Linked DNA regions of Macaca fascicularis. Each later gene encodes a partner of the first gene's protein in a complex. Links are inferred from orthologs where the notes say so. Each region holds a gene or a part of one and is shown on either strand. Other genes may lie near its edges.

The links.
Region 2: SPAG5 (region 1) and KNSTRN share a complex: the UniProt entries of both Homo sapiens proteins name them as parts of the astrin (SPAG5)-kinastrin (SKAP) complex. The link is inferred for Macaca fascicularis from reciprocal best matches to the Homo sapiens genes SPAG5 and KNSTRN.

What each region holds. Positions count from the first base shown.
Region 1 is NC_088390.1:34,048,345-34,053,351, forward strand, and holds part of SPAG5 (sperm-associated antigen 5), read right to left. Parts: intron 4,920-5,007; coding exon 4,827-4,919; intron 4,724-4,826; coding exon 4,610-4,723; intron 3,960-4,609; coding exon 3,866-3,959; intron 3,695-3,865; coding exon 3,547-3,694; intron 3,467-3,546; coding exon 3,364-3,466; intron 3,201-3,363; coding exon 3,067-3,200; intron 2,862-3,066; coding exon 2,723-2,861; intron 1,501-2,722; exon of another isoform or gene 1,341-1,500; intron 1-1,340. UniProt on the Homo sapiens protein: Essential component of the mitotic spindle required for normal chromosome segregation and progression into anaphase. Required for chromosome alignment, normal timing of sister chromatid segregation, and maintenance of spindle pole architecture.
Region 2 is NC_088381.1:16,885,971-16,890,977, forward strand, and holds part of KNSTRN (small kinetochore-associated protein), read left to right. Parts: intron 1-291; coding exon 292-397; intron 398-626; coding exon 627-720; intron 721-1,412; coding exon of another isoform or gene 1,413-1,456; exon of another isoform or gene 1,457-1,527; intron 1,528-2,245; coding exon 2,246-2,307; intron 2,308-3,027; coding exon 3,028-3,102; intron 3,103-4,828; coding exon 4,829-4,957; 3' UTR 4,958-5,007. UniProt on the Homo sapiens protein: Essential component of the mitotic spindle required for faithful chromosome segregation and progression into anaphase.

The DNA of each region.
Region 1 (5,007 bases):
GGTTCAGTCCTTGGCCCTAAATTTACTCTAATTCATTTTGTGGCCTTGCCTTGGGAGCGCCACAAAAACATCTACTTCAAACTTCCTTTCCACATGAATGACTTCCATCCCTCTCTCAACTGGATTTTTTCCCAGTCTGCAGACTCAAAAGGCTAACTGCCTGTGAAGAATCTACCAGAAGGTTCCACAGTCAAATCTGTATGAAGCTGAGTTCACCATTTTCCCTGTGCCACCCTATCAAAAGTCTGTTCCTACTCCTGTATTTACTATTCTAGAGCAGGGAGAGGGAACATTAGCAAATTGTGGCCTACAGGTCAAATCTAGCCTGCCAACTATTTTTGTAAATAAAGTTTTACTGGAATGCAGCTAGACCCATTAATTTACATATCATCTATGGCTGCTCTTGAACTACAAAGGCAGAGTTGAGTAGTTGAGACAGAGATGATATGGCCCAAAAAGCCAAAAGTACTTATTATATGGTCATTTATAGGAAAAGCTTGTTGGCCTCAGTTCTGGAGGTGTGCTTGTGGCTGCAGCAGCTAACTGGCTGTGCACAGGTAAGGCCAGGCAAGGCAGGAGCCGCTCAGCATCTCTGCTTTGTCTCCTTGGCTCTTCCCCTGCCATCCTCGTCCTGCTACCTGGGACTCCAGGATGTGCCCTTTCGACCCTTTCCTAACATCTTCGCTCCTTTCCGCATACTTGAAACCCCATGGCTCAACCTTTCCTGTTCTATCCCTCCTCAGCTCTCCCACCTGAACCTCAGCTTTTCCAATCCCAAATCCTCCTCTTCTTTTGGATATTTCCTTGGAGTCTGCATCTCCTACCCAGAGCATTTCCTGCTCAGCCTGCTCCCTCTCCTCCTAGGCTAGGTCCTCTCTCCAGTTCTCCCGCCTTCTCTGCCCCCCGGGTCTAGGTCTCTCCCACCAACTGGTTAGCCTGCGTCACCATTACCTCCCCTCAGTCTCATCTCTCTCAGGCTCTCCACTCCTTTCAGCCTTGGTCCTCTGCCCTCCCGTCTGGGTGTCTGAGTTGTGGGGAAATGAAGTGCTTCCTATTGCTATTCCTCCCGACACATAGGTGAAGTGCTCCCTGAGCATGGAGATGATCCGGAGGTGTCACTAACCCGTCTCCACACACTAACACAGCTAACCCACTGGGCCCTCTTTCCTAGCAATCTAAGGATCATCATTCACTCTTCTGCCTCTTACATCAAATTGGTCACCAGGTTCTACTGCGTCTGCTTTCTAAATATCTATTGAATCCATTCACTCCATCCTTTCCTTTCTACCGCCTATAAAACTGCCATTATTTCAAGCCTTCAAAATCTGCCTTCTGGCTACCTCTCCAGTGTTGTCTCCTGCCTTGCCCCACGTAGCTCTCACGCTGCAGCCATGAAGAGCTGCTTCCCATTCCTCAGACTCGCTGCATTCCATATGAGCGGCATCTTGCCTTGTTCATCCTCTAGTCCCAGCACCTAACCCAGGTTTTATAAGGTAGACACTACAAAAAAGAACACATCATGTACAATGCGCATGACTTTCTACATATGACTCTCATATGTCGTCAGATGAAACTTTCATACACCATTCCCTCTGCCTAGTGGGCCTTCCTAAATACCCACCCCTACCCCACAAACTTCTAAATCTCAAGACTGTACCCAAGGTCAGCTGCTTTGAGAAGGGATCCTAATTCTAGAAGGTTGAAGTGGTCCTCCCCTCTCTATCTCTCACAGTGGTCCATGCAGACCTCTACCATGATCATAAGTCAAAATGACAAGTTTACATCTGGTTGTCTTCCATGCTAAACTGTAGATTTGTTGGCATTTCCTGTGCTCGGCACCCAGTTGGGAAAGAGGATCAGGTCATAAGCAATTGCCAGATTTTAGGATATTTGTTGTGTCTGAATAAGCTGAATATTCTGCTGAATAAGCTAATTACCTGTGTATTCTAAATGATATCAACCACTTATTGTTTAGTGCACACTGCGGGGAGGCCAAAGAAGGCTGTATTTCTGCTTTCTTGAAACATAGTCTGATTGAAGAGACCAGGTATCCAAGGAAAATTAATGCAAATACAAAAGGAGAGTAAGTTCATGAGAAATATGGCAGAAGAAAAGATCGCCAGGTCCACATGATTTGATTTGGGAACATTTCAAAGAAGGTGAACCAGGGAAGATTTCTTTTTTTGGGGGGGAAAGGGTTTCACTCTCACCCAGTTTGGAGTGCAGTGATACAAAAAATTAACCAGGTATGATCATGGCTCACTGCAAGCCTCAACTTCCCAGGCTCAGGTGATCCTCCCACCTCAGCCTCCTGGATAGCTGGGACTACAGGTGCACAACACTACACCTGGGCTAATTTCTGTATTTTTTGTAGAGATGGTTTTCACCATGTTGCCCAGGTTGGAAGGGAGGATTTTAATAGAATAGGCATTTCCAGTTTGAAGAAAGAAGAGAATGAATGTGGGAACAGCCAGAGTCTGGGTTCTGGAGATAAAAATGGGGACATATGTGTAGCATACAGGCAGTCTAGCTGGGGCAAAGTGTTCATAATAGGGAGGTAGAAGACAGGGGAAAAAAGGTTTAAGCAACAGGCTAATGAGGTCCTGTAGGTAACTGAAAGTCATATAAGGTCACAGTTAGAAAAAGAGTAATGTTTTACGAAGACTATTCTGTAAAATAAAGATACAATTGGAAGAGAAGAGAAGGAACCCCGGGATCCTACCTTCTCCTTTAGTTTTGTCTGTAGGAAGAGAGTCAGCCTCTGTAGTTGCTCAGTCAGCACCCCTAGCTTTTGAGAGTACTGCCGTGTTTTCTCCAGGTCTTGCTCCTGGTTATCTACTATGGTGCTGGCCAGTTTAGCCCTGAAATAAGGAACAAGGAAGATGACCAAAGACCAAATTACCTTCTCTGAACGCCTCTCCCAAATCCCCACAGAGCTGCATTAAAGGAGAGAAACGAGAGGCTCAACACTCACAGTTCTCTTCTTTGAGATTTTGGCTTCTAGAAGTGTTCCTGACAAAAAAAAATAAGCACTTGGGGGGAAGTACAGAGAGTTAGACAACTTACGTTAGGTTCTCTACAGTGTCCTTGAGGTTCTCACACTGCAAGCTGCGCTCCCGGAGCACTTCCAGTGTGGTTTTCAGTTGACACTCAACCTGACTCAGTTCCAGGTGAGCAACCTGATTCTCCTGGTCTGCAAACTGGGAAGACAAGAGAAGCAGCAAGACAGGGAGGGAGAATTTTAGTGCCCTAGGGACAGAGGCTTTTTCTAGTTCATGGTCTCAAACCTTACCTCAACATTATCAGGCAAGAATCACACTCTTGAGGTTTACCAGCTCCCTTGGCCCAAGCCATATTCCTTACCTCCAAGGTCTCTTTCAGGTCCCGCACCTCTTTGGCCAGGACAGCTTGTTGCTGCTGCAGTTCTGCCTGCATGTGTTTTAGTGCCATCTCTTCCTTTTGCCATCTGTCAGAGACCATATATTAGATCCCATTTGGTCCTAATTCCTGGATGCCTACTGCCACAATACCCTGTTAGGAACTCACTGAGCAGCCTGCTCCTCATTGCTCTGGATAAGTTGGCAGAGTAACTCATCCTTCACAGCCAGGTCCTGGGCACAATGGGCATGCTGACTCTGTAGCTCTTTTAGCTGGTTGTCCAAGTTGGCCAGAATCTGCAACTGAGCCCGGAGATCTAGAACAAAAGTATCCTAATGACACTATGCAGTTACCAGGCCAGAAACTGCCCAAACCTCTGCTCCAAAGAAAGTGCTCCTGAGTACTTCCTTGCTCTAGTGCCACACTCCAAGCCTTAACAGGGCTCAACTGCTTACATGCGTGCATACACACACACACACACACACACCTGTTGCTAGACGACTGTTTTCCAACTCCAGTTGTTCTATTTGGCCTTTGCACTCCTCTAACTGGGCAGAAACTTGTTCCAGCTCCCTGGAAACCTAGGAAGAAAAGATGGTTTTCCTCCTGTAGTTCCTCCTGAATCAATAATCCCAGGACTTGGTCCAGCTTCTCTTTCTGAACAAGACAGAAAACTACCTTGCTCCTGGGCATCAACATTGCAGAAAATAAGGTTGATCCTCAGGAAAAAGTAGAGACAGGAGAAAAGTTGCTAAAGTAAAGATGCTGAAGGGCAGAAGGCCGGGCGCGGTGGCTCACGCCTGTAATCCCAGCACTTTGGGAGGCCGAGGCGGGCGGATCACAAGGTCAGGAGATCGAGACCATGGTGAAACCCCGTCTCTACTAAAAATACAAAAAATTAGCCGGGCGCGGTTGTGGGCGCCTGTAGTCCCAGCTACTCAGGAGGCTGAGGCAGGAGAATGGCATGAACCCGGGAGGCGGAGCTTGCAGTGAGCCGAGATCGCGCCACTGCACTCCAGCCTGGGCGACAGAGCGAGACTCCGTCTCAAAAAAAAAAAAGATGCTGAAGGGCAAACGAAAAAACTGGGCTTAAGGCCATCTTACAGCTAAGGGACCTGGCTGGCCTCCAAACCCACAGGGTGAAAAGAAAACAGATCCAGGGTAAGAGGCTAATGATATCACACATTAGAAAGGAAACCAAGCCTAAGCAGTCCCCACTCCTGGTCTGTACCTCCTGCTTTTCCTCAATTGCTGCATCACGTTCCTGCAGGGCCTGCCGGCTCTTGACTGTGAGTTTCTCTGTGAGTTGTCGAGACCGACTCAGCAAAGCTGTCCATGTTGTATACTACCAGAGGAAGCAAGCAGGTCAGTAGAGCACACTTGAGGCAAAGCTCCTAACAGGACTTGATGTGAGTAAGGAATTAATTATGATGGCCCCAAATACTCACATCCAGTTGCATGGACCTCCAGTCCTGTCGCAAGGTAGAAGTAAGACTCACTGTCTGCTGAACCAGCTCTTCTTGCTCGGTATGAAGCCCTACCTACAAAAGAAAGATTGCCTAGGAGGGAGCCCCTTCCCTTTGGATACAGGTCCACCCTCCCAGTCTGTCAGCACAGACCCCAGGAAAG
Region 2 (5,007 bases), on another chromosome or scaffold:
AATCTCAGCTCACACAGCCTCCACCTCCTAGGTTCAAGCGATTCTCTTGCCTCAACCTCCCAAATAACTGGGATTACAGGCATGCGCCACCACGCCCAGCTAATTTTTGTATTTGTAGTAGAGACAGGGTTTCTCCATGTTGGTCAGGCTGGTCTTGAACTCTTGACCTCAGGTGATCTGCCCACCTCAGCCTCCCAAAGTGCTGGGATTACAGGCGTGAGCTACTGCGCCTGGTGTAGGCCATGCTCTTAACCCTTTTGTCTTTTCATGTAAGTACAACTGTTATTACAGCTACAAACCACTGAGTAAGCAAAAATCAGAGGACGAGCTCAAGGACAAGAACCAGCTCTTAGAAGCCGTCAACAAGCAGTTGCACCAGAAGTTGACTGAAACTCAGGTAAGAGACCCACCAGAGCTCTGTTACCAGCTGCCACTGGGCAATGCACATGGAATCCTGATGGATGGCCCCTTGGGTGAGCAAGCTTGTTAATGCACAAATGCCCAAGGGCAGAAAAAAAAAAACAAAACAGGCTTTTGCTATGGCTGTCCAAGAGCAAGGGCAAGAAAGGGCGACCACCCCTAGGGATTGGGACAGTTCCTGATCTGTCTGTGCGGTGCTCCAACAGGGAGAGCTGAAGGACCTGACCCAAAAGGTAGAGCTGCTGGAGAAGTTTCGGGACAACTGTTTGGCAATTTTGGAGAGCAAGGGCCTTGATCCAGGTAAGAGATAGCACACAGCTAGCTGTCTTTGAAGGGATCAGTGCATGTGTCCCTTCCTGGGTTGATCTTGGCAGCATGGCATCAGCTGGCCCAGTAAGTGCAGGGGTTACTTCAGTAAAGCCCTAAAGATTTTGGAGGGCTTCTGTTTGTTTTCATGTGATGTTGATTTTTGCCTGGCCAATAGAATTTCAGAGGATTATATAGAGAGAAGGTTATCTCTTTCTTACCTGAACACTTTATGCCAACAGGTATGACCTTGCAAGTAGATGAGAAATATTTTGTTCCTTTCAAGGGAGAATATTTTCTGTCTCTTCCCATTTGGGAAAGTTACTAGTGTGCTTGAAAGGAACATTTTGTTTGAACATGTTCTTCCTCGCAAGCATACTAGTAACTTCTCAAATGGGAAGAGACAGAAAATACTACTTCAAGCATTCTTAAACCTGGCTAATCAGTAGAATTACAGTGACTAAAAAATGACTACTGTTACCCTGTCCCCCAGAGAGCAGAATCTGTAGCAAAGAGAGCAGTAGAAAGAATTGTCCAAAGACTGTAAGAGGGCCTCAGCCTGAGTCAAAGAGCTAGAGAATGCCCAGGAAATGGGCCCAGGCCTTTTTGTATTAAGGAATACTGACTTTGAATGTTACTGGTTAATCTTTAGGTTACAGGTGAGGATATTCTTTTTTTTTTTTGAGATGGAGTCTCACTCCGTTGCCCAGGCTGGAGTGCAGTGGCGTGATCTCAGCTCACTGAAACCTCCTCCTCCTGAGTTCAAGTGATTCTTGTGCCTTAGCCTCGTGAGTAACTGGGATTACAGGCATGTACCACTATACACAACTAATTTTTGTATTTTTAGTAGAGACAGGGTTTCGCCATGTTGGCCAGGCTGTTCTCAAACTCCTGACCTCAAGTGATCTGCCTGCCTCAGCCTCCCAGAGTACTGGGATTACAGACATGAGTCACCATGCCCGACCTGGGATATTCTTTATAGTCACTGTAAAATACATATTTTTAAATTTAAAATTTTTTTTTTGAGATGGGATCTCGCTATGTTGCCCAGGCTGGCCTCCAACTCCTGGGCTCAAGCAATCCTGAGTAGCTGGGACTACAGGTATGCGTCACCACAACTGACACCATAAATATTTTGTATGATTTTAATTTATTACATGCATGTGATATTACCAAAAGTAATAATTTTTAAGGCCTGAAAGGCTCTTAAATTGTGAACAAAACCAAAAAATCCAACCTATACATTTCCTTTGGACAAATTGTCCACTGACCTAAGGAGAAAGTATACAGAATTTTTGGCCATATCCAAACCTAGATTGAAAGGAGATAAAATGCAGTTCTGCAGGGCAGATGTGGGTGACCCTGCCAAGGTGAAAACTTGGGAGAAAGTCCAGGATTAGACACTTAAGAGAAATTCCCCTCATGAATATTTCTGTACTTGTTCATGGAGGGTTTTTATTTTTTTTTGGTTTAAAGTGTGTAGTTCCCTAAGTGAAGTTGACTTTGTTGTATCCGTCAGCTTTAGGCAGTGAGACCCTGGCATCACGACAAGAATCTACTACCGATCACATGGACTCTATGGTGAGGGAATGGGTGCGAAAGGGCACAAGGGCTGAGTGACTGTGGGGCTCTGTAAATCTAAGAAGGTCTCTGCTATATGTTCCATAAACCCCAAGAAACAACCTTTGATTATCTGCGATGGTAGAAAAGAGAAATGGAACATGCACTCAAAATAGCATATTTTACTTGAAAGGTAGCTTTGTGCTTACAAATATAGGTAAGTCTGAATTGAAAATTTAAAACACGTGGGGCCTGGCGCGGTGGCTCACGCCTGTAATCCCAGCACTTTGGGAGGCTGAGGCGGGTGGATCACGAGGTCAGGAGATCGAGACCATCCTGGCTAACACAGTGAAACCCCGTCTCTGCTAAAAAACACAAAAAACTAGCCGGGCAAGGTGGCGGGCGCCTGTAGTCCCAGCTACTTGGGAGGCTGAGGCAGGAGAATGGTGTCAACCCAGGAGGCAGAGCTTGCAGTGAGCTGAGATCTGGCCACTGCACTCCAGCCTGGGCGACAGAGCGAGACTCTGTCTCAAAAAAAAAGAAAAAAAAAAAAGAAAAAAGAAAATTTAAAACACGTGATAGGTAAACCTGTAGAGAGAGCTTTCTGGTTCCTCTGTTCTATACTGTATCAAATTTCCTGACTCCTTTGTTGAGAACTGTGTGGAAGGGATGTTAGCCATCATCTAATGCAGGTCTGGTTTTATATGAAGATTTGTTTACTACATTGTACTTTCCTCTTAGTTGCTGTTAGAAACTTTGCAAGAGGAGCTGAAGCTTTTTAATGAAACAGCCAAAAAGCAGATGGAGGAGTTACAGGTGAGAGGCAGACATCACCCTGACCATTTTCTACCACGATAGGTAGATTTCTTTCCTGTTTTTCTTTTTATTTTTAATAAACTTGCTAAATAATTTTAGATTTATAGGAAAGTTACAAAGATAATACAGAAAATTTACCCTGATACTTTTTTTTTTTTTTTAAATTTCCAACTTTTAAGTTCAGGGGTACATGGACAGGGTGTGCAGGTTTGTTACAAGGTAAACATGTGCCATGGTGGTTTACTACACAGATCATCCCATCACCTAGGTATTGAGCCCAGCATCTATTAGCTATTCTTCTTGATGCACTCCCTCCCCCAACCCCCAACAGTAACATCTTACATTATCCTGGTACATTTGTCAAAACTAAGAAATCAGCCAGGCATGGTGGCTCATGCCTGTAATCCCAGCACTTTGGGAGGCTGAGGTCGAAGGATTACTTGAAGCCAGGAGTTTGAGACCAGCCTGGGAAACATAGCAAGATCCCATCTCTGCAAAATAAAATTTAGAAAATAGCCAGGTGTGGTGGAAGGCAGAGGTTGCAGTGAGTCGAGATGGTGCCATTGCACTCCAGCCTGGGCAACACAGCAAGACTCCGTCTCAAAAAAAAAAAAAGTATGAATAAACTAAGTTCATACCAATAATGCCTATCTTGCTGGGTGGTTATAAAAGAGAATTATGTCTAGTACCTAACCCAGTGCCTAGCAAAGGTACTCACAGTATATACTTTTTTTGAGAGAGAGAGAGATGGTGCATACCTGTAGTCCCAGCTGCTCAGGAGGCTGAGGCGAGAAGACCACTTGGGCCCAGGAGGGCAAGGCTGCAGTGAGCTGTGATCATGCCACTGCACTCCGGCCTGGGTGACAGTGAGACTATGTCTCTAAAAATATAATTTTTTTTTTTTTTTGAGATAAAGCCTCGCTCTTACCCCCAGGCTGGAGTGCAGTGGCATGATAATCGGCTCACTGCAACCTCCACCTCCCGGACTCAAGAGATTCTCTTGCCTCAGCCTCCCGAGTAGCTGGGATTACAGGCGTTTGTGACCACGCCCGGCTAATTTTTATATTTTTAGTAGAGACAGGGTTTCACCGTGTTGGCCAGGCTGGTCTCGAACTCCTGACCTCAGGTGATCCACCCGCCTTGGCCTCCCAAAGTGCTGGGATTACAGGTGTGAGCCACTGCGCCCGGCAGGAAAAAATTGTTTTAAAAAAAGAGACCAACATCAGTACATTACTATTAACTATATTCCAAGTCTTCATTTGGATTTTTTAGCAGTTTTTTCCACCAATTTTTTTTTCTTTCTGTTAGCGAGGCCTCTTAGAAATGTTCACATTGCCAAGGCATGAGGCAATGTGTAACACAGTAGGTTGCTCAGAGTTGGGAATTGGGAACTGTATGTAATCCTTTCTATGGAAACTTGATGACTTGAGGAGGAGACCTGTAGTAAACACAGATTCTTTGGTCTGGACTGCTTCAGATTGCTTGGATGAATCATGGGATATTGCCCCAAACCTAGAGATACAGGAGTCTAGTCCCTCTCTACTACTAGGGGGACAATTCCTAAAACCAGCACGTAGAAGCAAAATCTAAAATAGAAGATACAGTCTCTGTTGATACTCCAGCGGTCTTCCTTAGTGGAACAGGAGCATAATGTGGGTATTGTGTTTCCTGTTAGTCAAGAGTTTTGTGTATGTGTTGTTTTCCTTTGGAATGTCTTTCCATGCAGGCCTTAAAGGTAAAGCTGGAGATGAAAGAAGAAAGAGTCCGATTCCTAGAACAGCAAACCTTATGTAACAATCAAGTAAATGATTTAACAACAGCCCTTAAGGAAATGGAGCAGCTATTAGAAATGTAAGAAGAAGCAAGTGGCCAGATGGCTCCCTCTTGGGCATAAACTCTCAGAGG